7 linked regions of the Oryctolagus cuniculus genome follow. The protein of the gene in region 1 interacts with the protein of each later gene in a pairwise test. Links are inferred from orthologs where the notes say so. Each region holds a gene or a part of one and is shown in the gene's direction. Other genes may lie near its edges.

Region 1 (4,103 bases):
GCTATCTTCATTGCAATCTATACCTTCAGAACTTCTTGTAGATACAGTCCCCACAGGCTCCTGCTAAACAAACAAACAAACAAAAACCCAGTGTTTATACAACAGTATTTATTATAGAACGGGTTGGGGTGGGTATCGGGGTGAGCAGCGCGTGCATCGCATTCTGCGTTTTGACTGCCGAAACCTTTCCTGTCTTCCAGCCTGATTTAAAAAAAAAATCGACTATGACGTAGGAATTGCTTTCAGCCACGTCTTAGGCCTAAAGGAGTGCAAAAACAGTGTGTGTGTGTGTGTGTGTGTGTGTGTATGTGCTTAACCGGGGCCCTTGCGGGCGCTCAGGGTTTACAATTGGGCAATACTGCTTAATACAAGGTACTGGGCTGTACTTTGCTTGCAAGTCATCTTTAAACCAAACGATGACATAATTTGCAAACGCTGGCTTCTCAGAGGTACACTAACTTCCTGCTCCTGCGCGCACCGAGACAGGTTGACCGATCCTAGGTGTCACCTAAAACAGGAACTGGGATGGAGTAGGAAATGGACAGCGGCTGGGCCCCGGGGGAGCCGCCGCGACCTCGCTCGAGGGCGGGAAGCGCAGCCCCCAGCGGCGACCCCGCGGGTTGCGCAGGGGTCCCAAGCGCCCACTCCATCCTCCTCCCGCCGTGATGAACACCTTTCCCCCTCCTCCGTTAACTGTCCTCCAACTCCCGTGCCCAGAACAGCCACAACACGCCTTGACGTCTTCCACGCACGCAACACCTAGCATAGTGAAATAACAAACCCCCTCACCGCTAATTAACCCCCAGACGCTCCCCGCCACGGGTCCCGGACACGGAAACCTAAGTCGGGGAGAAGCCAGCAGGCCAGGCCAGGCGAGGCGAGGCGAGGCGACTCCTCGCCCACCGCAGAGTCGGGGAGCGACGTAAAAGGGTGGGGAGACTACCGGGATCACGAGCGCGCAGGCGCACACTCGGCCGCGGCCCTCAGTGGTCGAACCCCTTTCTAGTAATTTCGCTACCCGTGACGTCATCGCGGCGCGCCGCCACAGTGCGCCCGGACACCGCGTTTTATTTTTTGGTGAAGTGTGTGTGTGTGGTGAAAGGGGAGCTGTTAAAAAAAAATGAAAAGCCTCAACTCGCCCCATTTTGCTCTTTCTCCCACACTTTGGGCGGGAGAGGAAGAGACACCGAGCCGGAGCCCCCCAAAGCGCGCCGGCCGGGGGATGACTCGGCGCCGTCGCCGGCCGCGTTACCCGGCGTGCCCCGCGCGGCGCCGGCGCAGGAGCGTGGGGGAGGGGCGGGGAGGAGGAGGAGGAAGCGGCGGCGGCGGCTGCGGATGTCGCTGCGAGCGAGCGGCGGCTGACTCCGCGGCGGCTGCCGAGCGCCCGAGTCGGGCCTGCCTGCGCCGGCCCCCCAGCGAGCGCGGCTCCCCGGCTGCCAGGGCGGCCCCGAGGCGGCGTTGCCCTGCCTTCCCCGCCGCCCGGGCCGGCCGGCTCTGGCGTCGCCTGGCTCGCCCTCGTTCGCCCGCTCCCTCCTGCTCGCCTGAGTCACCGCCGCCGCCGCCGCCGCCATGGCCGAGAGTGGTGAAAGCGGCGGCCCTGCGGGCTCGCAGGACGGCGCCGCCGCGGCCGAAGGTGCTGGCGCCGCCGCCGCCGCCGCCTCGGCGGAGCCCAAGATCATGAAAGTCACCGTGAAGACCCCGAAGGAGAAGGAGGAGTTCGCCGTGCCCGAGAACAGCTCGGTCCAGCAGGTGAGGCGGCCGGAGCGGCCGGTTTCGGGTGGGCCTCGGGAGGTGCCGCGGGCTGCCCTGCGGGTCTCAGGCCGCCGCGGGTGGCACCCAGGTTGGGGGCTCGGTCCGCCGAGGTCCGTGTCGGGGCCGCCCCGCCGCGCCGGGCCCGGAGCCGTCCTCGCGTCCCCCGGTGCCCAGCTGCCCGCCCGCCGCCGCCTCCCCTGCAGCTCCGCACAAAGGAAAGGGACCAGCGGCTGCCTGCGGGCGGGGCCGGGGGTCCGCGCCGGTGCGGGCTGCGGTTTTGTGCGGCGGATCTTGGAGGCGGTGCGGTTGGGGTCGTGTGCGTGTGTGTGCTTTGTTCCACCTGCCCGCGGGTTGGGGTGGGTATCGGGGTGAGCAGCGCGTGCATCGCATTCTGCGTTTTGACTGCCGAAACCTTTCCTGCTTTCCAGCCTGATTTAAAAAAAAAAAATCGACTATGACGTAGGAATTGCTTTCAGCCACGTCTTAGGCCTAAAGGAGAGAAGCGGACGACTTTCGTTCATTGATGACTTCCTGTTTCTTTATTGTATTGCATTTGTGGTCTTTGGGATGCCCCGTCGGGTGGGGTTTTGTTTGCGTTTTAGAGGGGCTGCAGCGACTGAGCGGGTACAGCAGTCGTGAGTGGGTGAGCGGAAACAAAGTGGAGTTAGTGGAGATGAGCAGATACTCAGTGGTACGGATTCCGCGGGTCACCCGGGAAGCCCGCTCGCACGAGCACCCGGTCCCGGCCTGGGTGTGAGCCGGCCCTGGGGACGGAGCGCGGTGGGGCCGTGCTTGGTGGAGCGGTGAGGAGTGTGGGACCTCCTGATCAACTCCATCACTCTGTTTTTGTCTCCCAGCATCCTTAACAGTTTTCCTTGACATGTTTATATACGTGTAGAACGGCTGGAAGACGAGCCACGAGGGTGACCCTCGCCTGAGATCAGTGTTTTCCTGCATTCGCTCAGCTGTCTCCTCTGTTGTAATAGACTGCGTCTTGGATGTATTTCCGAGTTGCTGATGTCGGTATGTGTAAACCTGAAAGGCATTGCCAAGCATTGTGTGCGTCATTAACTTGAGGCGCCCCCCCTTTTAGGTAAATTTGACATGAAATTCACCAGGGTTGCCATTCTGTTCTCAAATGCCTTCGTCTTTGTAGGTCAAGCTGGTAACAAGGTGTAGAGTATTCTCTTCCTGACTGACTAGAAAGTTTACTCTTGCCTGTCCCAGTCAGTTCAGTCACTGCCCCACCCCCCAACTTTTGTTTTGTTTCTTGTCACCATATGTCACGTTCGCGTGTTCCAGAACTTAAGTGGAACCATACAGTATGTAATGTACTCCTCTGGGTAAGGCTCCCTCCTCCCCGCATGATGTTTGTGAGATTCATTCTTGCCTGTATGAGTAGTTACTCCTTTTAGTTGTTGTGCAGTTTCCACTGTATGGATAAACCATAATTTCTTCGCCATCGAGGGTCGCCTGGGTTTCTGGTTGGTTACTGTGCAAATCTTTCAGGGATGTCTACTTTGATCACTCATGGTCAGTGTTTAGAAATGGAACGATAGTCATAGGGCAGTTGTTCAAGTGACAACATTAAAAAGAAACTATTAGTGCTCTTACAGTTCCAGCAGTGACATATGGGAGTTCCTGTTGGTCCACAGCCCTGCTGACAGTTGACATCAGAAGTCTTCACGTGCCCACTACTTTACTGTATGTGTGACCAGATTACATTCTTGAAGCCCTTTACTTTTCTTTCTGTGTTTCTTAATTCGGACCTTCACCATCCTAGCTGTTTTCAGCATTTTACTGCAAAAGATTGAGAATAGTTAATATTTTATAAATAGAAAAATTTATGTAGGTCAGCATCTGTAAGCATGATTTTTCTTTTTTGGGATGGTGCAATTAAAATTGTAAGGTCTGTGGAAGTTTTCATTTTTACCCCCTAAAACGAAAGTGAATGTTTTAAAAAGTAATAACTGTTCATTGTATTTTTTGGAAAAGTTCATTTGAGAGGCAGAGAGCAAGTGAGTGTGTGTGAGAGCGAGCACACAGTTAGTCTCTTATCCTCTGGTTCACTTCCCAAATGCTTGGCGGGGGCCCGCATTGGGTTGGGCTGAAGTCTGAATCCCGGAATGCAATCCAAGTTTCCCATGTGGGTGGCAGGAATTCAGTGACTTCAGCCAGCACTGAGCCTTCCAGGGTCTGCGTTTGCAGGAAGAGGGAGGCAGACGTGGAACAAGGCACTCTTATGTCAATGCAGGTGTCTCAATTCCTAGGTTAAATGCCTGCACTCCCGAAGTGAATTTTTCACGGATAAATTGAAGCTTTTCTGATGTAACTTTTTCTGATGGTAGTTA
Region 2 (4,143 bases), on another chromosome or scaffold:
GGGGCCGGCCCGGATAACGATTTGAAAAGCAGAGGATGAAACAGAGGCTCGGCGGCGACTGGGGGGGGGGGAGGGGGGCGGGGGGGCGGCAGTATTTTGATTTTTTTTTTCTTCCTAAACATGTCACTGAAGTCACTTTCCCGCCTGGAATCCCCGCTATACTCGGCCGCCCCGAGAGAACCGGGAGGCCCTCTGGCCACTTGCGACCCCGCGAGCGCCCCGCGCCTGAGGCAGGAGGAAGGTTTACCGAGAACAAAAGAACGCTCGCCAGTCCGGAGGCGCTCCCGAGAACAAGGGGAGCCCCTCTCCGGGTCTGGAGAACGCGTTCAGGAGCAGCGGCCCTGGTTTCTGACACGCATGGCAACTTTCCTGGGCAGATTCCAAATGGAGGATCAGATCATGCTCCCGCAACGGAGACGGGTCCCACCCCCAGGCCACAGGCCCACAGAAGTAAGGGGCACAGGGCCCCGGCAGAGGCTCTGCGAGTCGTACGGAGTGTGCCGGGCACTCGGGCCGGCCCCGTTTCCTACGGCCTCGCCGCGGCCACCTCAGCGGGCGGCGGACTCCCGGGCCGGGAGGAGCGCGGGCGGGACGGCCCGGGGCCCCGCGCCTGGAGTCCCGCGCCGGACCCGCTCCTCGAGGGTCTGCACTTCCTCCCGCCTTCGCTCTCGGCCCCCACGGCTGCCGCCGATTTCTCCTCCGAGGCCACCCCTCCTCCTTTTTACAACCGGGGGAGGGGGTGCGAGGGGACCGCAGCCTTACGCGGTCTGCCCGGCTCCGGAGGGAGAAAAGCAATCCGCAAGGCGCGCCCCCTTCCCACCCCGTCCGGATCCGCACGCTTAGGATCCCGCCACCCAAAGCCCCCGCCAAAGCTCAGCGTTTCCAGCCGGGAAGCGACTGAAGCGGCTCCGGGCCCCCGCTCCCCGGCCGTGGCGCGGCGCTATTCTCGACTCTGAGGCGAATGAGCCCTTCTGCTCAGGAATGTGTGTTTAGTGCACCCGGAAGAGGAACAAATCTTTCAAGTAAATTCCCTTTCTGGTGCGTTTTTCTCCCCTGAGCCAATGCAGGGTAAAAGTTTTTCCCAACTTTTCCCTCCCAGTCCCCCGCCCCTCCCCTCAGGAATCCGCCCAGAGCGCAGCAGTCACCGCCTCCCCCCACCCCCGTTCCCTTGCCCGCCCCTTCCGACTTCCACCCAATCCAGAGGCGGCCCCAGAGAAAACAAAGGCCACCATTGGGCCGCGCCGGGGCGCGGGCACCGCCCCCTGAGTGGTTTGTGAATGGGGGGAGGGGAGGGGGCGGGTCGGCCGGAGCGCTGCGAGCCCGACGCTTCTTCTGGCCACCGGCGCGGCTCCCAGGCGTTACTCGGCGCTCCCTCCCGGCGGCTGGCGGCGGCGGGCGCCGGGACTCGGGGGCCGGGGCTGCGCGAGGCCGGAGAGGCCGGGGCCAGGCCGCGGGCACAGGGGCCTCGCCGCTTCAGACGCCGAGTGACTGTGCTTGCAGCAGAAGTCGCCGGGCTCCAGGCTCTGAGGCGCCGGTGGGACTCAGCGAGAGCCAGCCGTTTGGGGCTGAAACTTGGGGCCGAAGAAGGCGCGGGGCGTGGAGGAGGAGGCGAAGGAGGCGGTGGCGAGCCGAGCCTCGAGGCGAGGAGGCGGAGCAGCACCTCCGAGGCGGCGGCCCCGGCGAGCAGGCGGCGGCGGCGGCGCCGGCTCTGACCTGGCGGGGGCCGGACTTGGAGTGGGGGGCGTGCGCGTCCGTGTGCGCTGGGTTGGGTTGGGGGGAGGGTTCGAGAGACTTCGGCAAACTTTGAAGGGGAGCCGGAGACGCTTGTTGCTCCTCGCCGCAGAGAAAGGCGCACCGTTACGTCCCCGCAGAGAGGGCCAGGCCGTCCCCCTCCGCGCCCCCGGCCCAGACTGACGCGTTTGGGCCCCCGGCGGCCGCGCGAGCGCCGGGCGGAGGCGGCTGCGGCGCCCCCGCGGCGCGGGCACCCCAGCGGCAGCTCCCTCGGCTCCGCGCCGCCCACGGCCCGGCCCCGGCGCCGGGAGGACTCTCATGCGCCGGGCGCGGCGGCGCCTCCCGGCATCCAAGCCTCTCCCAGCCGCCTCATCGCACTCCCTGGGCTGAGAGCGTCGCTGCACTCGCGGCCGGCGATGCGGGGCCCCGGCGCGGCCGCGTCGCGTTCGCCCCTGGGCCTGTGCGCCCTGGTGCTGGCGCTGCTGGGCGCGCTGCCCGCGGGCGCCGGGGCGCAGCCCTACCACGGCGAGAAGGGCATCTCGGTGCCGGACCACGGCTTCTGCCAGCCCATCTCCATCCCGCTGTGCACGGACATCGCCTACAACCAGACCATCCTGCCCAACCTGCTGGGCCACACGAACCAGGAGGACGCGGGCCTCGAGGTGCACCAGTTCTACCCGCTGGTGAAGGTGCAGTGCTCGCCCGAGCTGCGCTTCTTCCTGTGCTCCATGTACGCGCCCGTGTGCACCGTGCTCGATCAGGCCATCCCGCCCTGCCGCTCTCTGTGCGAGCGCGCGCGCCAGGGCTGCGAGGCACTCATGAACAAGTTCGGCTTCCAGTGGCCCGAGCGGCTGCGCTGCGAGAACTTCCCGGTGCACGGCGCCGGCGAGATCTGCGTGGGCCAGAACACGTCCGACGGCTCCGGAGGCCCCGGCGGCGGCCCCACCGCCTACCCCACGGCGCCCTACCTGCCGGACCCGCCCTTCACCGCGCTGCCCCCGGGGGCTGCGGACGGCAGGGGCCGCGCCGCCTTCCCCTTCTCGTGCCCGCGCCAGCTCAAGGTGCCCCCCTACCTGGGCTACCGCTTCCTGGGCGAGCGCGACTGTGGCGCCCCTTGCGAGCCGGGCCGTGCCAACGGCCTCATGTACTTCAAGGAGGAGGAGAGGCGCTTCGCCCGCCTCTGGGTGGGCGTGTGGTCCGTGCTGTGCTGCGCCTCGACCCTCTTCACCGTGCTCACCTACCTGGTGGACATGCGGCGCTTCAGCTACCCAGAGCGGCCCATCATCTTCCTGTCGGGCTGCTACTTCATGGTGGCCGTGGCGCACGTGGCGGGCTTCCTGCTGGAGGACCGCGCCGTGTGCGTGGAGCGCTTCTCGGACGACGGCTACCGCACGGTGGCGCAGGGCACCAAGAAGGAGGGCTGCACCATCCTCTTCATGGTGCTCTACTTCTTCGGCATGGCCAGCTCCATCTGGTGGGTCATCCTGTCGCTCACCTGGTTCCTGGCGGCCGGCATGAAGTGGGGCCACGAGGCCATCGAGGCCAACTCGCAGTACTTCCACCTGGCCGCGTGGGCCGTGCCGGCCGTCAAGACCATCACCATCCTGGCCATGGGCCAGGTGGACGGGGACCTGCTCAGCGGCGTGTGCTACGTGGGCCTCTCGAGCGTGGACGCGCTGCGGGGCTTCGTGCTGGCGCCGCTCTTCGTCTACCTCTTCATCGGCACCTCCTTCCTGCTGGCCGGCTTCGTGTCGCTCTTCCGCATCCGCACCATCATGAAGCACGACGGCACCAAGACGGAGAAGCTGGAGAAGCTGATGGTGCGCATCGGCGTGTTCTCGGTGCTCTACACCGTGCCCGCCACCATCGTGCTGGCCTGCTACTTCTACGAGCAGGCCTTCCGCGAGCACTGGGAGCGCACCTGGCTCCTGCAGACGTGCAAGAGCTATGCCGTGCCCTGCCCGCCCGGCCACTTCCCGCCCATGAGCCCCGACTTCACGGTCTTCATGATCAAGTACCTGATGACCATGATCGTGGGCATCACCACGGGCTTCTGGATCTGGTCGGGCAAGACCCTGCAGTCGTGGCGCCGCTTCTACCACAGACTCAGCCACAGCAGCAAGGGGGAGACTGCGGTATGAGCCCCGGCCCCTCCCCCACACCCTGCCCGCGCCCACCCGCTGTGAGTGGTGGTGGGGGGGGGAGGCGCCGCCGGGAGAGAACTGTCGGGTGGGTAGGGGGGCTTGTTTTGGTCACCACCTTTCCCTCCACCGGGAAACGACCGGGGAGCGAGTTGTTTGCAGAATTGGGGTGGGGGCCGCGGAGGTGGGGGTTGGAAAGGAGGCCTTAGTGGAAAGTGGTTTGGATCAACAGACTTCTGGCAAAGACTTTCAGGCTGATGATGATGGTGGT
Region 3 (3,980 bases), on another chromosome or scaffold:
TCCGAAGTCAGGAGCGCTGATGGTAGAGGTGAGTCTTCTAACAGCCACGTGCAGTGTTACAGTTGTCTGAATCCTAACGGAGGTGCTGGTGTCAACCCTAACAAAAATAAGGGAAGCTAGGGTTCTGACCGCTGCTGCTGGACAGTGACGACCCCAAGAGTCCGCTTGAACCACGCGGGCTTGCACAAAGGGCACTAACACAAAACGGACTTGTGCAAGGACCTCCGCGCGGTCACTGGCTGGCACCCCGTTCCTGGTCAAAGCGTCTTCTGGGAATCCTCGATTTTGCCCTTAAAAACCTCCCCTGGCTTTGCCCCCCTGGCGCCCGCCCGCAGCTCCCCGGGTGGCGCGCGGGGCTTCCCCTCGCCGTGGGATCCGCAGATCTGGCCTTGACTGTACCATCTTTGTGTTTGTCAGCAACCGAGAGGACGCGGAAAAGCACAGGGTTTTGCCTCCTAGTTCTTACGGGGGGGGGGGGGTAGGACAAGGAGGTGGTGGGAAAACCTGATTCTAAAACAGAGGGCACGTGGGCTGACTTCACGGACACGAGGGGGACCGCGGCTGTCCCTGAAGAGAGACGAGGACGCCGGACCCCAGACCACCTGGGCCGCCGGCCGGGCCCTTCTCCCACAAGATGGCTCCTGCTCGACGACCACACCGGACAGGTGGCTCCGGGCGCCTGGGCCTTGAGGGGGCGACCCCCCGGTTTGGCCCCCGGACCCGGAACTCTCTTCAGCCCTTCCTTGTCACGCTTGCTCCCCCTTCCTTCGCCCTGAGCGAGCGGCCGGCTCCGGGCTCCCCCGCGTCGGGCCGCCGGCGTCCCCGCAGCCCGGCCCCGGCCCGCACCTGCCCGCGCGCCCCCCACGCCGGGTCCAGCCGCGGCGCGGCCGGCGGGCGGAAGTGCGAGGGCCGGCGGGGGAGGAGGCTGCCGGCGGCCGGCTGCGGGCTGGGATTCCCTCCCCGCCTGACGCGGCGGCCGGGGGAGCCCGCGCGCGGCGGCCCGGCCTTTTTTGGTGCTGAGGGAGCCCCGCAGGCTGGGCCGCCCCCGGGGGTGGTGGTGGTGGTGCTGAGGAGCTCGGCCCGAGTCCCCGTCGCCGCCGTCGCCGCCGCCCGGGAGGAGGGGCTGCCCGGGAAGCCGGGCGCAGCCGCGGCCGCCCTCGCCCGCCCGCGCTCCGGGCCGCCCTGCCGTGGCGCGCCCCGCGCGGCCCCGGGCTTGCGCGCAGAGCTGGCGGGCAGCGGCCCCGCGCGCGGCGGCTCAGCCATGTCGGCCGAGGAGGTGGTGCAGATCCGCCTGGAGGGCCGCTGCTACCCGGTAAGCAAGAGGAAGCTCATCGAGCAGAGCGACTACTTCCGCGCCCTCTACCGCTCCGGCATGCGCGAGGCCCTGAGCCCGGAGGCCGGCGGCCCCGAGGTGCAGCAGCTGCGCGGCCTGAGCGCGCCGGGCCTGCGGCTCGTGCTCGACTTCATCAACGCCGGCGGCGCCCGCGAGGGCTGGCAGCTGGGCCCGCGCGGGGACAAGGGCGGCGCGGGCGATGGCGAGGAGGAGCTGGACGAAGCGAGCCTGCTCGCCGCGCTCGTGGAGGCGGCTTCCTTCCTGCAGGTCACGTCCCTGCTGCAGCTGCTGCTGTCCCAGGTGCGGCTCACCAACTGCCTGGAGCTGTACCGCCTGGCGCAGGTGTACGGCCTGCCCGACCTGCAGGACGCCTGCCTGCGCTTCATGGCCGTGCACTTCCACGAGGTGCTGTGCAAGCCCCAGTTCCACCTGCTGGGGTCGCCTCCCCCGGCTCCGGGGGACGTCAGCCTCAAGCAGAGGCTGAGGGAGGCCCGGATGACGGGGACCCCGGTCCTGGTGGCCCTGGGGGACTTCCTGGGCGGCCCCCTGGCGCCGCACCCCTACCAGGGGGAGCCGCCGTCCATGCTCAGGTACGAGGAGATGACTGAGCGCTGGTTCCCGCTGGCCAACAACCTGCCCCCGGACCTGGTCAACGTCAGGGGCTACGGCTCGGCCACTCTGGACAACTACCTCTTCATCGTGGGCGGCTACAGGATCACCAGCCAGGAGATCTCCGCTGCGCATTCCTACAACCCCAGCACCAACGAGTGGCTCCAGGTGGCTTCCATGAACCAGAAGAGGTAGGCGCCTGGCCCGGGGCTGCTGCTGGGCGTGCAGCTCCCTGGTCCACTCCTTCCGTCGTTGCTCCAGGGTTTGCTGGGCAGCCCCCTGGGGGTGTGCTGAGGGTGGGGGAGGGATGACACCCCCGGAGCCGGGCTGGCTCTGGCGTTGGCGGGGTTCCCAGCGAGCAGAGGCCCCGGGAGGATGAGGTCAGCCAGCGCGCCTGGGTGGCTGCCTTGCAGGTCTTGTGTTCTTAAGCAACACGATTTTCCTCCTGGTGGGAAAAACAATGTGGCTTCCTAGAAGGGCCTGTTTATTTAAAAAAGGCTGCTGTTTAAGTTTCATCTTTACAGATGTTTCCTTCTTTTTAGTTTTCAGGTTCTGATGGTGATTCTAAAGACACACTGGACAGTTACCTGTCATGCTGACTTGGGGTGCCTTTTTTTTTTTTTTAACCTGTCAGTGACTTTGAAGCTTTTCACCCTAGAGCACCAATATATGATCAGGACACAGTCCCTGGAAAGTGACCAGAATTTGCTGTGTAGGATTCTGTCTTAGTTTTTGTTCTCTCTTTTGCTTCTTCCTTCTCAGTGTCATTGACCCAAAGGGTGAGCCTGGCGGTAGTCACCTGTGGAATTGGAATCCAGCCACCCTAGCTGTACTCAGGGCGCTGGTTCTCGGACCCAGTCGGATACCAGTCCTGAAGCCTTCTATGAGATGGCAGTGTTTGACATAACCTCTGCGTGTCCTTTCCCCCGCCCCAAACATTTTATGTCTTCTCTAGATTGCCTGTAATGCCTGTGGTATGAATGCTGTGTACATGATAGTTGATTTATTTATTTATTTGAGAGGTAGCGTTACAGAGACGGAGAGGAAGAGACAGACAGAGGTCTTCCATCCACTGGTTCACTCCGCAAATGGATGTACCAGCTGGATCTGGGCCAACCTGAAGCCAGGAGCCACGAGCTTCTTCTGGGTCTCCCACAAGGGTACGGAGACCCACACCCTTGGGCCATCTTCCATTGGTTTCCCAGGCCATTAGCAGAGAGCTGGATTGGAAGTGGAGCAGCTGGGTTTTGAACTGGCGCCCAGTTGGGTCTTGAACCAGCACTCATATGGGATGCAGGTGCCACAAGTGGAGGCTTCACCCTGCTACACCACAGCGCTGACTGTATGCTGTATGTTTTAAGGGAACAAGAGAGAAATTCTGTACACCTTCTGTACACCCGTGATTTTTGGTTTGGGTGTTGTCTCCCCTCATTTGGCTCCATAGAGATGGAGGGCCGACTGTATTCCTATCACCCCTACCATCTCCCTACCAGGTCTACAAACTCCACAATGACTTGAAGAAAGGAAAAAAAAAAAAAAAAAGGCAACATGGGGCCTGCGGTGGGTGGGCAAGTAGTAGAGAAAGGGGCCAAGCTGAGAGCAGGTACAGGAAGAGGTGGTGGGGCGGGGGGAGGAAAGGAGAGAAGGAGGGAAGCAGCTTCCTTTTGCTATCGACATCTTTATACGTCTGCCTGGAAGCGTGGAGCAGGGACTGCAGGCCTCACAGTGTGGGGAGTCCTCGTCACAGGTGCTGGACTCGGGGATGGGTTCTGCCACACCGCAAAATTCGCTTTGCAAAGTATGCTGCTTTCCTGGTGACACAGAACAGCGGAGTCACTGGAAATAGGAGAGTGCAGAGAAACCCAGACTGTTGCTCCCGCCGCCTCCTAGAGGCAGTAACTGCAGAGCAGCACGTTTTCTTCCAGCCTCTTTTATTTTTAAATTTGTACTTTTTATTTGAAAGATAGAGCGAGAGTGTCAGTTCTCACCTCCTGGTTCACTCCCCCAGTACCCTAACAGCCAGAGCTTGGCCATGCTA
Region 4 (3,500 bases), about 26 Mb from region 1:
ATATGGGTGCCAGTTGGAGTCCTGGCTGCTCTGCTTCCGATTGAGCTCCCTGCTAATGCACCTGGGAAAGCAGCAGAAGATGGTCCAAGTCCTTGGGCCCCTGCCACCCACATGGGAGACATGAAAGAAACTCCTGCCTTCTGGCTTTGGCCTGGCCTAGCCCTGGTTGTTCCAGCCATTTGGGGAGTGAACAGTGGGTGGAAGATCTCTTTCAGTCTCTCTCTCTCTCTCTCTCTCTCTCTTGCCTTTCAAATAAAGTAAATCTTAAAAAAAAAAATTTTGGAGCAAGTGTCTCCAGCTATATCCTTCTTTCTAGGTACAACATTATCACCAGTTAGGCTTCTAACTGGGAGACCATAGGTGAACAGGAAAAATGCCCTTTGAATCTTTTATGAATAACCAGACCACTCTCAGGAACCTGTGAAATGGAGCACAGATTCCATTTGCCATTCTCGTATTGTCTTAGCTGTGGCTTTCTCCTGTTAAGATAAACTGAGTTTGTTTTTTTTTTTTCCAATGCGGGGGGGCGGGTTTTCTGTGAGCCTGCGCTGTGTCAACCTTGGGCCCAGGGCATGCTGCCTTCACGGGAACTCTGATTTTCAGTCTTCCATTAAATACTAGAATCAGTTTTCACTTATCCTTGTAATGTAAGGGAGTGCTGTTAGCGCTCTCTCACACTGGGGCTGTTTTAACCGGCACAGAGGAGTGTCTATCGGGACAAAATTGCAAATGATAATAAATACTGGAGCAACTTTCAGCTATTTTAGAGGGCCTCGTTTTTCAGCAGTGCCCCTTGGATGGGTTTTTCTGTTCTGTTCACCTTCCATCTTCTGAAGAACTGTGGGACTGTGATCCCAGCTATGTTTGTAATTCTTCCATTTTTAAAGAAAAGCTTGTATATTCATTTGCAAGGCAAAATGACAAGGAGAGAAAGGAAGAGATGCATATACAGAGTGCTCTTCCATTCACTGATCTTACCAAATGCCGGCAGCAGCTGAGGCTGGGCCTGGTGCAAACCAGGAGCCAAGAACTCCAGCCGAGTCTCCCACCTGTGTGTCAGGAGCCCAAGCACTTGGGCTCTCATCTGCTGCCTCCCAGGAACATCAGCAGGGAGCTGGATGTGATGTGGGGTTAGGACTGTATCCTAGGCACTCTGGTATGAGATGTAAATGTCCCAAGTGATGGCCTACCCTGCAGTACCACAATACAAGCTGATCTTTTTATATGTTTTTCAATCAACCAATTAGAGAAAAACTCTCATCAACTAGTTCACTCCAAAACAGATGCAACAAAGCCAGGAGCCAGGAACCCAGTCCAGGTCTCCCATGTGTGTAGCAAGAACCCAATGACTTGAGGTATCATTGCTGCCTCCCAGGGCCTGCATTAGCAGGAAAGTGGAGTCAGGAGTTGGAGTTGGGTATCAAACCCAGCCATTCTGATATGGGACTGCAGGTGTCTTAACCAGAATCTTCATCACTAGGTTAAATGTCTGTCCCAAGGTCTTCCATTTAAAACTTTTTAAAAAGTAAACTGGGGCCAGCGCTGTGGCACAATGGGTTAAAGCCCTGGTATGCAGTACTGGCATCCTATATGGGTGCCGGTTTGAGTCCAGGCTGCTTCACTTCCGATCCAGCTCTCTGCTATGGCCTGGGAAAGCAGTAGAAGATGGCCCAAGCGCTTGGGCCCCTGCACCCATGTGGGAGACCTGGAGGAGGCTCCTGGCTCCTGGCTTTGGATCAGTTTAGCTCCAGCCATTGCGGCCATCTGGGAAATGAACCGGTGGATGGAAGACTCTCTCTCTCTCTCTTTCTCTCTCTGCCTCTGCCTATCTGTAACTCTGCCTTTCAAATAATAAATCTTTAAATAAAGTAAACTTATTATTTTCATTTTATTTGAAAGGCAGGGAGAGATATAGAGATAGCAAGAGAGTGAGAGGGAGAGAGTTACTGCATCCACTGGTTCACTCTCAGAGGCCTGCAACAGCCAGGAGCTGGGTACTCAATCCAGATCTCCATGTGGGTGGCAGGTATTCAGCTGTTTGAGTGATCGTCTGCTGCTTCCCAGGGTGTGCCTCAGCAAGAAGCTGGATCAGAAGCCGAGGAGCCAGGGCTTGAACCAGGCACTCCGAGAGGGGATGCAGGCGTCCCAAGCAGTGTCTCAACTACTGCGACATATGCCTGCCTCTGATTCTTTCACTTGTAACAACAGTTTCCTGAGCCACAACTCAGGCCTCCAAACGATGCAATTTTGTTGTCCTGAGCAGAAGCCATTTAGTTCCAGAGCGGGCTCGCTGATTCCTTGAATGGCCTCTAGCTCTTAACTTCACTGTCTGCAAGTTTCACCGCCCGGCCTGCGCTGCTCTGGGGTTTGCAGATTCCTCCTCTGCTTGCATTTGGTCTCAGCCCACACGGCAGCTCCCCCTCCCCAACCTGTGCAGGTGGTCCCTTCCATGGGGCCAGACTCATCCTGAGCTGCAGGAGGATGCCTCCAGGGAGATTCTGAGCTGTTTTGGGAAAAACGAACATTTTGGCGTGGGTCTTTGTTTCGCTTTTGAATTTAACGTTTTTTTGTTTTGTTTTGTTTTGTTTTGCTTGTTTTAGGTGTGGAGGGGTGGTTTGGAGAGGCAGATTTTCCCATAGCGCTGGGAAAGAGCTCCCCGGGCCAGCAGCCTAAGTAAATGTTAGTGACTGTGTATCACTTTGGCCCTGGCAGGCCTGGGTCCGCAGGTGTTTCCTGCCCAGCACTTTGAAGGCTGCAGAAGGATCATTTATGTTTTCTCTCTCTCTATCAGGTGAGGACATCCCGAGCACACCTGGAGAAGAAAGCACATCCTTATCCACCCCCAACTCAAACCGGGGGCCTCCCGGGCGAAGCCGGAGAGCCCCCCCACCCCTGCGGGCAAGGTCAAAGAGTGACCCCGTGCTCCATCACTGCGAGGAGAGAGGTGAGCTCACCCCAAGCTCTCTGAAGAGCGCTCTGCTCATTTGTCCAAAGGCGCCAGGGCAAAGCAGGTGGCTGTGGCCTGCAGGTTCTGTGGTCTCTGGAGGGAGGCTCAGCGTCCCGGGGAGAGCCAGGCGTTCCACGCGCACGGGAGCGATGGCCCTGGGCCACGTCTTCTGAGGCTGGTAGGGTTTGTGTTTGAAAGTCGTTGTCACCCAAAGCATTGGACTGCTCACTACCGCGTAGCCCAGGAAGAAAGTCACACAGTCCCAGGCCTGAAAGTCCAGGTGCTTGTAACCCTGTGGAATTATGATCGGTAAGGAAAAAGCCGGAGGAGTGTACTCGTTTTTACCTGTCCTTTATAATTCAACACTTGTTGTTGAGGTAGCTTGAATCATTGAAATTCAACCCTGTTTTCAGAACTTTGAGTGGTGTGAAATGCACACGCTCTCTCCCTGTCAGTTTTCAGCGTGTTTGTGTATGGATGTTATTTACTTAAAAAGTTTTAAAAAAACTTTTTTCTGATTATGAACTTCAAAAAGTTCATGCAAAGGTGGAAA
Region 5 (3,500 bases), on another chromosome or scaffold:
GAACAACAAAAACCAAACAGTCCGATTAAAAATGAGCAAATGATATGAAGACACTTCTCAAAAGAAAAAGTAAAATAGCCAACAAAATTATAAAAAGATGCTCAACATTATCAGCTATTAGGGAAGTGCAGACCAAAGCCACATGAGATACCATCAATTCCAGTTAGAATGGTTATTATAAAAGAGACCCAAAATAACAAGTGCTGGTGAGGATATGAAGAAAAGAAAATGGATACAGTGTTGGTGGGAATGTAAGTTAGTCCAGCCATTATGGAAACCATTATGGAGGTTCCTCAAACATTGAAAACATGTCTACAGTTTCCACCTTTTCCACTTTTGGGTATATATCCACAGGAAATAAAATTGGCATATCATACCTAGACTCCCATGTTTATTGCTGCAGTATGCCCACTCGCTAAGATGGACTCAATCCAGATGCCCATCAGTAGATGAATGAATAAAGAATATGGGATGTAAACATAGTAGAATATTATTTGGCATCAAAATGGATGGAACTGGAGATCATTGTGTTAAATAAGTCAGATGCAGACAGATACTGCATGTTTTCTGTCATGTGGAAGCTAAAAAGTTGATCTGAGTGTACAATAGTGATTATTAGACATTATAGGGGTGGGACTGGAAGGAGACTAGATGAAGGGTGCCAAAGCACAGTTAAGAGAGAAAAATAAGCTCTAGCGCTCCTCAGCACAAGGGGATGACTGTAGCGTACAGTAACATCTTCATGAGCAGTCAGAAGCAGGGAGGCTCCAAACACCAAGGGTAAGGAAGTGGAAACATCGTGTACATGTAGAAGTATCACACTGTTCCCTGTAACTATGTACAACTACTATGTGGTAATCAGGAAGATTTTTAAATGTGTGTGGAGATGGCCGTGCCATCTACCCTCATTTGATCATTACACATTATGTTCATGTATTGGATTATCACTCTGGACCCCATAAATACGTACAATTGGATAACTTTAAGAAGCCACCTATCCATACTATGGAATGCTTTTTGCAGCCATTAAAATGGGTTGAGGTACTGATACACAACCATGTACGTAAGCCTAAAACATGCTGAGTGAAATAAGACACAAAAGGTTCCCTTCACGTGAAATATCAGGACAGGCAGAGCCATAGAGACCCAGAGCAGGTGGCCAGGGGAGTGTACAGTATACTCATGCTGCAGGTGTGTGTTGGGGGTGACGCAGGGGTGGTGATTGCACAGGTCTGAATAGACTGAAACCGCTGAATTGTGTACTTTAAAGTGGAGAATTTTATGGCATATGAATTATGTCTCAATTTTTAAAAGTGTATCAAGAAGCTGGATTCTTCAGTTTAAACTGAATAATATTAGGTTTGTATCTCACAACATATGGACCATATCAGCTCTCTTACGTTGGGTCTTATGCATAGTGGGGGACATTTAAGTTATCTCCGACTCCCCCATCACTGTTTGAAGAGAAATGGAGTTAGAGGATTCATGGACCAGGAGTCAGGAATTAAACTTGTTCTCCTGAAGCATCATGAGTGACCACGGGCAGGGTTCTTCATCTCGATTCAGTTGCCAGCGAAGGGGATCTAGCATTTGCCTGTGTCGGACTTCACCACACTGAAGGGTTCTCCATGGGTCCCAAGTTTCCTGAGGGCTGGTTTTCTGCCAGCTTCCAACACAGTGTCTTGTGCGTGCAGAAGTTTTATAAATATGTCATAAAGAGATGCTGATTTAAACAGGAGAAGTCATGTGAGAGTCCTTTTTGCACTTAAAGCCCTAAAGATATTAAATTAGTGTAATACTGTATTTTGGTCTATTTGTGGAAATTTAAACAAGTCAGAAGTCAGACTTAATGTGTTGGTAATTTATAGCCACACTGATTGACTTCTTTTCTAGGTCTTCCAGTATTAAAACATGTGCTAACACCAAGAATAAAGGCAACTCATGTCGCTTTTGATTCTATGAAGAATTACTTAGATGCGATTTATGATGTTACAGTGGTTTACGAGGGGAAAACTGACAAAGGGCAGCGGAAAGTATCACCGTCCATGACTGGTGAGTTGATGTTGTCTGTACTTGAAGCTGTATGCTTTGAGCACAGAGACACCTGAAACCACACATATGTACCTGAAATATGACACATACAAGCAATGACTCTTTATTAATGTATATTTCATTTTTCCTTCATTACATTTACTTGGTTTGTTTTTCAAGATGTTATTGACAGTAACAGTTGAAATGTAATTCATCCTGGTAAGTTAGGTATTTCTTGGCTGCCATATGAGTCTTTTGGGAGACTTCTCCTGTCCAAAATTCATCCAGAAAAAGATATTCCACAAATCATGGGAGGGAGCTAGCAGTGGGAGAACCATCCAGCAATATTGAGCTGTTCATTAATTGTCAGTGATAATCATTTCATAAACTGTTCACCAAGTATAGTGTCAGTGTTGACAAGGAGAATGTGTGATTTCCCTTCTCAAACATGTGCTGGATTTTAGAGACCTTTACATCTGTGTCAGATATAATGAAGAGAAGTTTTTAAAATATTTATTTTTAAATCAGAAGGAGATAGAGAGAAAGAGGTCTTCTATCCACTGGCTTGCTCCCCAAATGGCTACAAGAGCTGGAGTCTGGACCAAGCTGAAGCCAAGAACCAGGAGTTTCATCTGGGTCTCCCACATGGGTACAGGGCCCAAACACTTGGGCCATCTTCTGCTGCTTTTCCCAGGTGCATTAGCAGGGAGCTGGATCAGAAGTGGAGCAGCTGGGACTTGAACTGGTGCCCTGTGGGATGCCAGCATTATAGGCAGTGCTTTACCCACTAGGCTACAACGCCTGTCCTGAGAAAGTTTTAAGTGAGCACAGTAGTTTGGTGGAACTTAACCAAAGACACTGTTGACCATTAGAGAAATTTAAATCTAGGGGTAGGCAAACAGGGAAGTATTTTGTCTTTTCCCTGGGCAGCTGTTTGGACTTGAATCCACAGGCTTCCCAGGTTGCTTGCATCAGTATTGTCTCTTGAAGGTAGGTGTTCAAAGAATGAACCACTAGCACATTTTATATTTAAATTTCCTCTCAAAGCATTCCTCTGCATTTGATGTGCCTTTGAAATTGTATAGAATAATGCTCGTAGCTGCAGTGAAACATTTGCAGAAATAAACATTATTCAGGCATTTAGAGGTTAGCAAGGATAGAAAGGATTTCATCCAAACTTAAGCTCAGATTGTCTGGATATAATACTGTGCACTATTAAATTATTTAATAATCTGTTGTGTTCTTGAGATGCCAAGGATGTTTCAGAGTACAGAGAGAGTGCAGTTATAAAGTGATCATTCTGTTATACAGTGACCATATGTAGCTCACCTAAGTTTTAGAAGAAATGCTCTTTGATTCAAAGATATAGACAGAAGCTGCCCAGAGCGGGGAGGATTTGAGAGGGAGCTTGGAGGCCAGTGTCTCAAGTGCAAGTATTTCCATCTTAGGGATGATTGCTGTCCTCCCTA
Region 6 (3,414 bases), on another chromosome or scaffold:
TGGGACTGAGAATCTTATGAACGTACTAACAATTAATATTGAGGAGGGCCGGCGCCGCGGCTCACTAGGCTAATCCTCCACCTTGCGGCGCCGGCACCCCGGGTTCTAGTCCCGGTCGGGGCGCCGGATTCTGTCCCGGTTGCCCCTCTTCCAGGCCAGCTCTCTGCTGTGGCCAGGGAGTGCAGTGGAGGATGGCCCAAGTGCTTGGGCCCTGCACCCCATGGGAGACCAGGATAAGTATCTGGCTCCTGCCATCGGATCAGCGTGGTGCGCCGGCCGCAGCGCGCCGGCCGCGGCGGCCATTGGAGGGTGAACCAACGGCAAAGGAAGACCTTTCTCTCTGTCTCTCTCTCTCACTGTCCACTCTGCCTGTCAAAAAAAAAAAAAAAAAAAATTAATATTGAGGAAGCTGAGGGATTGCTTTTCAGCTTATGGATGGCCTGAATGCTGATACACCTCACCAAGGCAAAGTTATATTTCAGTCTGAAGAAATGACCCCACTTAACCCCTGAAATGAGAACCATACCATACGTTATAAAATTACTGTTGATTTCCCATGCACGTGAACTCCTAATTACTGTCTATGATTAATTAGGATCCCCACTCAGGAGACAGAAATACCGTTTTCAGTGAGCATTCTCCAACTTCAGAGATTTTTTAAAAAGAAAAACTGATTATATTTGTGTCTCCCAGGAGGACTAGAATACCACAGTTACAGCTAAAATGCCAGTCTCATTCATTCTTGCATTCAAGAAATACTGTTTGCAAGTTAGTACTGTAGGTACTGGGACTTCAGCACTCAACAAAGCAGATACAATTCCCTCACTGAAATAACGTTGTAGTGTAGAGAGACAGGTAAATAAATAAAGTATGACTGTTGGTGATAAATGCTATGGCTAGAATTAAAGGGTGGTGGGTGGCTTAAAATTTTAAATAGTTAGGAAAGAAGGTAATGTGTGAACAAAGATCTGAAGCAGAAAGGGGAGTAAGCCATGTGGAGGATGGGGGAAGTGTGTCCAGGCGGAGGGTGAGAGCAAACCCTGAAGCCCGAGTTAGGAGCATGCTTGCCTTGTTGAATGACAGCAATGTCAAGCCGAACAAAGAAGACTGAAAACAGGTAGCCTGTGGAGTTAGGGAAGCGCCCAGGTGGCAGATTATGTATCGCAGCGACTTCAGGTTCTCCTGTGAGTGACAAAGGAAGCCACCAGAAGCTTTCAAGGAGAGAGGACAGGATCTGACCCAAGGTTCGCATTTAATCTTAATAGGATGAAGAGGAACCAAAAGATGAAGATTTCAGCCCCGATGGGGGTTATATTCCAAGAATCCTTTTCCTGGGTAAGGCACAAAATCTTCATGTGGGGATCCATCGTAGGATGGAGAAGAAATGCCTGAAGGGACCGACTCCATGTAGTTAAACTACTGGGATGGCCCAAAACAAAACCAGCCAGTTTCAAGAGAGCTGGGGAGTCTGGAGTGCCAGAACCGCAAGTTTGGAGGAAAATCTTCCCCATTAACTCAGGGACAGGAGGCGGGCCATCCATTTATTCATTCAGCCATCATTTGAGCATCAGCCCTTGCTAGGCAGAGATAAGCCACTATTCCCGCTCTTGACCCTACTCTGCAGCTGAGGCAATGGAATAGTATAACCAGACAAATGTCTTCCCACAGACAATTTTATGAGTTATTAATGACCACCTAATCTTTACTTAGCATTCTGCTAGATTATGTAGAAGACACAAATAAAAATGTATGATCCTGCCTCCGGCAAGCAGTAAAGGAACGTGCCAGGAAGAGGCAACAGCGAGTACCAGACTCCAGGGGTGAGAAGTGTATGCTGTGTTCAGGGAATTGCAAGGAATCATTGTGATTACAGCCTGAAAGGCAGGGTTGGGATGGTGAGATAGTAGGCTGCAAAGACGGACAGGTGTAATTTCCCACAGAGCCTAGTATACCGTGTAGTGCTTGAAGTAACTGTTGTGATTACTCAACCTCTGTGCCGTTTTATCTCCAATAGACCCCAGTGGCAAGGTGCGTCCTGAAATCATCAATGAAAGTGGAAACCCAAGCTACAAGTATTTCTACGTCAGTGCTGAGCAAGGTACAGCTATGCAGAGGAAAAGGAGGGAGGATTGCTGCTAGATTTAACTAGGATGAAGCATGCACAGGTCTGGGGGGAAACTCACTTCAGCATGTTAGCTAGCATCTCCTGTGTGAGACTAAGTTTTCCCTTGATCCACTCTAGGATATAGGAAAAGAACTTTAGACTGAGGTCCTTCCCTAGCTACTTGGAATCCAGTGGAAGAGCCAAATGACCCACAGGAAACCGTGAAGATCTGAGCCTCACAGAAATACCTCACTTGCCCGTAGTCTTACTGATAATAAGCTGCAGAGCCTGGATTTGGATTCAGAACTTAGTTTTTTTCCACTTCACTAACACTGTTCTTCCTGTAGGAATTCATAGGAAGGAGGTACGACTTGTTAGCTGGGTAATTCTAAGAAGTTTTACACTTAGATGTTAAACTCTAACTGGACCCAGAAGTATAAGACTTTGTTTCTGGACAGATATGAGAAGGACATTTCAAGCTGAGGGAGGGAGGGGTATAGCCCATCATGGAGAGTCTATAAGACCTGCCAGAGGAAATGATGAGTGGCCTGAGCCCTGGAGAATTGGACCTAGTTGGCAAAGGAATGAAAAAAAAACATATTCCAGACAGAGAACAGCATCAGCACAAACAGGCAAGGGAAAGTTGAAATTGCAAAGTCATGTTTTTTTGTTTCCTACTCCTTGAGCAGTCATTCTAGAGGCAGGGTTGGAATTCATACTGTGTGTTGTTGCTGTTTTCCTTTTCCCCCTAATCTGTAAAAAGGAGTTGTTAGTCCAGTTGCTGGTGTCCCATATTTTCACATTGCTGGGTTGTTGGTCACTTTATGTTTTGAGTCCTTGGCACTCTTATTCCCAGAAGAGGGAGAATGTAGAGATCTGAGACATCATCACCTCTTCCCTTGCATAAGGAGATGTCATCTTCCCTAGCCAAGTGCAGATCCAGGGAGATTGGTACCAGAGAGGGAACTTTTCTACCTGGAGAAGGCCAGTGGTGTCAGGTCCCTGACTCTTGTACCTTGAGATTCACCCTCCCTTTGGAATTTCATCCAAGTTACCACTGCCATCTCCACATTAGTGTAGTCCAGATGTGAACCCAAGATTGTTCCCTGAATTCCTTGTGGCTCAGCTGACATGAAACCGGAACTTTCAGATCTGGCTTTACTAACAGTATAAGCAAAGCAAAAGGGGAATAACAAACTGTATCATCTGGCTTTTATGAGTATTTGCTTTTTGAGATTTACAGACACTGGCTCAACCTAGCTCCTGGCCTGCATTATATAAGGATGCTATTGTGGAACCACCAATATAGA
Region 7 (3,982 bases), about 130 Mb from region 1:
GCCGCAGTGCCCCAAGACGAACTGTCACTTCTCCAGAACCTGCCCCGTACAGTGCACCTCCTTACCTACCTGGGCCTGCGGAAACGTGGGCCCAGGACAGGTGTTGGAGAGGACGGAGAAGACCCTGCTTGAGCTGCCCATGCCTCGTACCTGAATACCTGAGTCCGAGCCCAGCTCCACTCACAGTCCCAGCTCCCTGCTAATTGGTGCCCTGGGAGGCAGCAGGTGGAGCCGCCGTAGCTGGGTGTCTGTCACTCACACGGGAGACCTGCACTGAGCTCTGGGCTTCCCTGACCCCCGGCTGTTGCAGCTCTTTGGGGAGTGAACTACGAATGGAAGGTTTCTGTCTCTATGCCTTTCAAATAAAATGAAAATGAAATAAAAAACAGAAAGAAAGAAAATGGTCTGCATGTGTAGCCCCCTGGGGGGTTTCAGGATTTGCAAACTAGGTCCCTCATGATCCCTCTAGTCTGACCTGTGCAAGTTTTTTAAACATATTTTTGTTTATTTGAAAGGCACAGTTATGCACACACAGGGTATATACACAGAGATTTTCCATCTGCTGTTCATTCCCCAAATGGCCGCTACAGCCAGGGCTGGGCCAGGCTGGGTTAGGAGCCTGGAAGTTCACCCAGGTCTCCCACGTACATGGGTGCAGGGGCCCGAGCACTTGAGCCATCGTCCACTGCTTTCCCAGGGGCGTTGGCAGTGAGCCGGATCGGAAGTGGAGCAGCCGGGATTTGAACCGGCACCTGTATGGGAGGCCAGCATTGCAGGTGGCGGCTTTATCCTCGGTACCACAGCGCCAGCCCCTCATTCACTCATTCTAAAGGCAGGGGAAGCGGGGTTCCCCAAAGTCCATCTGAGCCTGCAGACGCCCTGAGCTTCTTTGTCGTGGGGCCGGGCCGTCCAGGGGCAGGACTGGGAGCCCTTCTGTGACCCCTGTTGCCCTTTACTGGGGCGGAGGGCCTTGTCTCATCTCTGCCTCCCCACGTTCAGCCCGACACGTGATGGGCCCTGGCAGTAAGCCTTGTGGGGCTGACCCGTGAGGCCTGCCCCGGGCCCGGGGTCCTCACCCCCAGCCTTCCGCAGATATCGACGAGTGCAGCTACTCCAGCTACCTCTGCCAGTACCGCTGTGTCAACGAGCCGGGACGCTTCTCCTGCCACTGCCCGCAAGGCTACCAGCTGATGGCCTCACGCCTCTGCCAAGGTACGGCCTGCCCAGGTGGGGCAGGCAGGGGCGTCGGGGGCTGGCGGCCTGACGCTTCTGCCCCCTCCCCGCAGACATCGATGAGTGTGAGTCCGGTGCACACCAGTGCTCTGAGGCCCAAACCTGTGTTAACTTCCACGGGGGTTACCGCTGCGTGGACACGAACCGCTGCGTGGAGCCCTACGTGCAAGTGTCAGACAAGTGAGTCCCTGCTGTGCCAGCAGAAACTACAACACCCAGAAGGCTTTGGGGTGGACTGCTGCCCGCTTGAGCGGATGAGTGCCCACAAGGGCTGATGGGAGTTGTAGTCTTTCATGGCTAAACCCTGCCCACAGTTCCAGGGGAATGGAGCAGGTGGGCGAAGTTTCGGGGCCGGGGTGGGGGCCTGGGAAGATGAGCTAGGACTTCATTTGTGTCCCGCGCCTTGGGGTCTCTAGCCGCTGCCTCTGTCCGGCTTCCAATCCCCTGTGTCGAGAGCAGCCTTCGTCCATCGTGCACCGCTACATGAGCATCACCTCCGAGCGCAGCGTCCCTGCCGACGTGTTCCAGATCCAGGCCACGTCTGTCTACCCCGGCGCCTACAACGCCTTCCAGATCCGCGCCGGGAACTCACAGGGAGACTTCTACATCAGGGTAAGGCTCTCCCTCACCCCCAGCCCTCGGCTGAATTCCGGAAGCCTGGAGTGGGCCTGGAGTGGGAGACGTTCCCGTGGTTCCGTGCCATGCCCCGCCCCCGGGGAGGTGGGGCTTCTGTAGGGAGGTGGGGCTGCTCCCCGGGGCGGGGGGAGGGGGGAGGGGGTTAGGCCTGGTATGGTGTCTACCATCCGACCTCAATTTCCTCACCCATAAAACAAGGGAATGGTGTTGGGGGCTCGTGCAGGGGTCTGGGGCCAGAGGATGCAGCCCTGCTGGTGGGGCTGTAGGTGAGGGGGTCCACAGAGCAGCGCAAGTCTCAAGCCAGGGCCCTCGTGTGCGGTGTGTCTGCGGTCCGTGCTTGGGTTTTACTTATTCATTTTTTTTCCCTCTAAGGATTTATTTATTTGAAAGAGTTAGACACACAGAGAAAAAGATATTCCACTGGGCTGGGCCAGGCCAAAGCCAGGAGCTTCATGCGGGTCTCCCACATGTGTGCAGGGCCCAAGCACCTGGGCCACCTTCCACTGCTTTCCCAGGCGCATTAGCAGGGAGCTGGACTGGAAGCGGAGCAGCCGGGACTCAAACCAGCACCCATATGGGATGCCGGCGTCATAGGCAGCTGTTTTTCCTGCTACGGCACGCCAGCTATTTAAACTTTATTTATTTGAAGTTAGAGGGAGAGAGAGAGAATCTTCCATCTGCAGGTTCACCCCCTCCCCACATATCTGCAACTGCCAGGGCGGGGCCAGACTGAAGCTAGAAGCCAGGAACTCCCTCTGGGTCTCCCATATGGGCGGCAGAAACCCGTGCACTCAGGTCTCCGGGGGGACTAGCAGGAGCCGGAGCCAGGCACTCCCCTGTGGGACGCGGGTGCCCCCCGCAGGGCCTTCACCTGCTGTGCCACTGCGCCTGCCAGTTTTTTTTTTTTTTTATTTCTGGGAAGTGGGTGCTTCAAAGGGGAGTCTGCCCGCTCCAGTCACCAAAGGCCTCACCACCCCGCAGCGTCACACCTGGCCTTGAGCCCTGGTTGGACAGAACCGGCTGGGGGGGGGGGGGCACCTGTGGCTCCCCGAGGGCAGGAGGGGAGGGGAGACGGTGACTGGAGCAGGGTCCCGGAATCCAGGCTGACCCAACCCGTGTGCCCTGCAGCAAATCAACAATGTCAGCGCCATGCTGGTCCTTGCCCGGCCGGTGACAGGCCCCCGGGAGTACGTGCTGGACCTGGAGATGGTCACCATGAACTCCCTCATGAGCTACCGGGCCAGCTCCGTGCTGAGACTCACCGTCTTCGTGGGGGCCTACGCCTTCTGAGGGGCGGGTGGGGGCGCGGGGTGACTGCTCCGCTCACGTGCAAGATGCCGTTGTGAGGGGCAGAGAGGGACAGGCAATAAAGGGACAAAGGAGGAGCCCTGCTGGCCCAGGCCGCCGGGGAGGGGCGGGGCTGCCCCCAGAGGGAAGGAGGGGAATGTGCAGACTGAAGTGCAGTAGGCCTGGCTGGCCCCCTGCAGGGACCTGCGGACACCCCCCCCCACGACGGACAGCGCCACGGGCCCAGTCCCAGCTCCGGGCCAGGCCTCGGACAGCCCTCGCCGCTCCCTGGGCCTGTGTTCTAAGTTATAAAGGAGGCAACTGCTTGCTGTGGTCTTCCACTCTTCTTTCCCAAGCCAGAGAACCTCGCAGCAGCGGGACTCTGCTCAGGGACCATCCGCTCCTGCAAACCAGGTCAAGGTCGCCGCGCACTGCGGCCCCAGGCCCGGGAGCCCCAGGCCTGGAGGACTCGCTCTAACGACTGCTGGGCCCACGCGCCCCCCACACACCGAGGCTGCAGACTTCATTTTTATTGTGGCCCGAGGCCCTGGTTAAAAGGCCTGGGAGGGAGGGAGGGAGGGAGCCGGGGCTCTGCCTCCCGGCGCAGCTCAGGTCAGCGGGCCGCAGCTGCAGTAGAGCTGGGATAAGGTCCTGCTCAGAACAGGCCCCAGGTTCCTGCAGGAAGAGGGGCAGGTGAGGGCCCCCTGGGCCCAGGGCAGCCCCGCCCCGCCCCGCCCCTGCCGCGCCCCGCCTCCTGGCCTCACCTCTGCAGACGCCCGCACTTGACGGTGCTGAGCAACATCTCCTGCTCCTTGGGGCTGCCGCA

The links.
Region 2: the proteins of UBQLN1 (region 1) and FZD7 interact in binary tests that used the Homo sapiens proteins (3 or more experiments, as listed by UniProt). The two-hybrid records come from large-scale screens. The link is inferred for Oryctolagus cuniculus from reciprocal best matches to the Homo sapiens genes UBQLN1 and FZD7.
Region 3: the proteins of UBQLN1 (region 1) and KLHL42 interact in binary tests that used the Homo sapiens proteins (3 or more experiments, as listed by UniProt). The two-hybrid records come from large-scale screens. The link is inferred for Oryctolagus cuniculus from reciprocal best matches to the Homo sapiens genes UBQLN1 and KLHL42.
Region 4: the proteins of UBQLN1 (region 1) and ENTREP1 interact in a two-hybrid assay, tested with the Homo sapiens proteins (2 studies listed by BioGRID and IntAct). The link is inferred for Oryctolagus cuniculus from reciprocal best matches to the Homo sapiens genes UBQLN1 and ENTREP1.
Region 5: the proteins of UBQLN1 (region 1) and AGPAT5 interact in binary tests that used the Homo sapiens proteins (3 or more experiments, as listed by UniProt). The two-hybrid records come from large-scale screens. The link is inferred for Oryctolagus cuniculus from reciprocal best matches to the Homo sapiens genes UBQLN1 and AGPAT5.
Region 6: the proteins of UBQLN1 (region 1) and TXNDC12 interact in binary tests that used the Homo sapiens proteins (3 or more experiments, as listed by UniProt). The two-hybrid records come from large-scale screens. The link is inferred for Oryctolagus cuniculus from reciprocal best matches to the Homo sapiens genes UBQLN1 and TXNDC12.
Region 7: the proteins of UBQLN1 (region 1) and EFEMP2 interact in binary tests that used the Homo sapiens proteins (3 or more experiments, as listed by UniProt). The link is inferred for Oryctolagus cuniculus from reciprocal best matches to the Homo sapiens genes UBQLN1 and EFEMP2.

What each region holds. Positions count from the first base shown.
Region 1 is NC_091432.1:134,662,780-134,666,882, reverse strand, and holds the start of UBQLN1 (ubiquilin-1), read left to right. Parts: upstream 1-1,303; 5' UTR 1,304-1,569; coding exon 1,570-1,749; intron 1,750-2,754; exon of another isoform or gene 2,755-2,769; coding exon of another isoform or gene 2,770-2,775; intron 2,776-4,103. UniProt on the Homo sapiens protein: Plays an important role in the regulation of different protein degradation mechanisms and pathways including ubiquitin-proteasome system (UPS), autophagy and endoplasmic reticulum-associated protein degradation (ERAD) pathway.
Region 2 is NC_091434.1:37,924,836-37,928,978, reverse strand, and holds the start of FZD7 (frizzled-7), read left to right. Parts: upstream 1-1,343; 5' UTR 1,344-2,147; coding exon 2,148-3,872; 3' UTR 3,873-4,143. UniProt on the Homo sapiens protein: Receptor for Wnt proteins.
Region 3 is NC_091440.1:124,898,438-124,902,417, forward strand, and holds the start of KLHL42 (kelch-like protein 42), read left to right. Parts: upstream 1-1,180; 5' UTR 1,181-1,261; coding exon 1,262-2,133; intron 2,134-3,980. UniProt on the Homo sapiens protein: Substrate-specific adapter of a BCR (BTB-CUL3-RBX1) E3 ubiquitin-protein ligase complex required for mitotic progression and cytokinesis. The BCR(KLHL42) E3 ubiquitin ligase complex mediates the ubiquitination and subsequent degradation of KATNA1.
Region 4 is NC_091432.1:161,045,866-161,049,365, reverse strand, and holds part of ENTREP1 (endosomal transmembrane epsin interactor 1), read left to right. Parts: intron 1-2,791; coding exon 2,792-2,944; intron 2,945-3,500. UniProt on the Homo sapiens protein: Functions as an activator of the E3 ubiquitin protein ligase ITCH in the ubiquitination of the CXCL12-activated CXCR4 receptor. Thereby, triggers CXCR4 endocytosis and desensitization, negatively regulating the CXCL12/CXCR4 signaling pathway.
Region 5 is NC_091439.1:113,092,042-113,095,541, reverse strand, and holds part of AGPAT5 (1-acyl-sn-glycerol-3-phosphate acyltransferase epsilon), read left to right. Parts: intron 1-1,893; coding exon 1,894-2,052; intron 2,053-3,500. UniProt on the Homo sapiens protein: Converts 1-acyl-sn-glycerol-3-phosphate (lysophosphatidic acid or LPA) into 1,2-diacyl-sn-glycerol-3-phosphate (phosphatidic acid or PA) by incorporating an acyl moiety at the sn-2 position of the glycerol backbone.
Region 6 is NC_091438.1:120,916,479-120,919,892, forward strand, and holds part of TXNDC12 (thioredoxin domain-containing protein 12), read left to right. Parts: intron 1-1,265; coding exon 1,266-1,335; intron 1,336-2,014; coding exon 2,015-2,098; intron 2,099-3,414. UniProt on the Homo sapiens protein: Protein-disulfide reductase of the endoplasmic reticulum that promotes disulfide bond formation in client proteins through its thiol-disulfide oxidase activity.
Region 7 is NC_091432.1:5,900,892-5,904,873, forward strand, and holds the end of EFEMP2 (EGF-containing fibulin-like extracellular matrix protein 2), read left to right. Parts: intron 1-1,092; coding exon 1,093-1,212; intron 1,213-1,286; coding exon 1,287-1,413; intron 1,414-1,649; coding exon 1,650-1,845; intron 1,846-2,997; coding exon 2,998-3,159; 3' UTR 3,160-3,482; downstream 3,483-3,982. Other genes in the region: crossover junction endonuclease MUS81, read right to left, coding at 3,765-3,831, 3,921-3,982. UniProt on the Homo sapiens protein: Plays a crucial role in elastic fiber formation in tissue, and in the formation of ultrastructural connections between elastic laminae and smooth muscle cells in the aorta, therefore participates in terminal differentiation and maturation of smooth muscle cell (SMC) and in the mechanical properties and wall integrity maintenance of the aorta.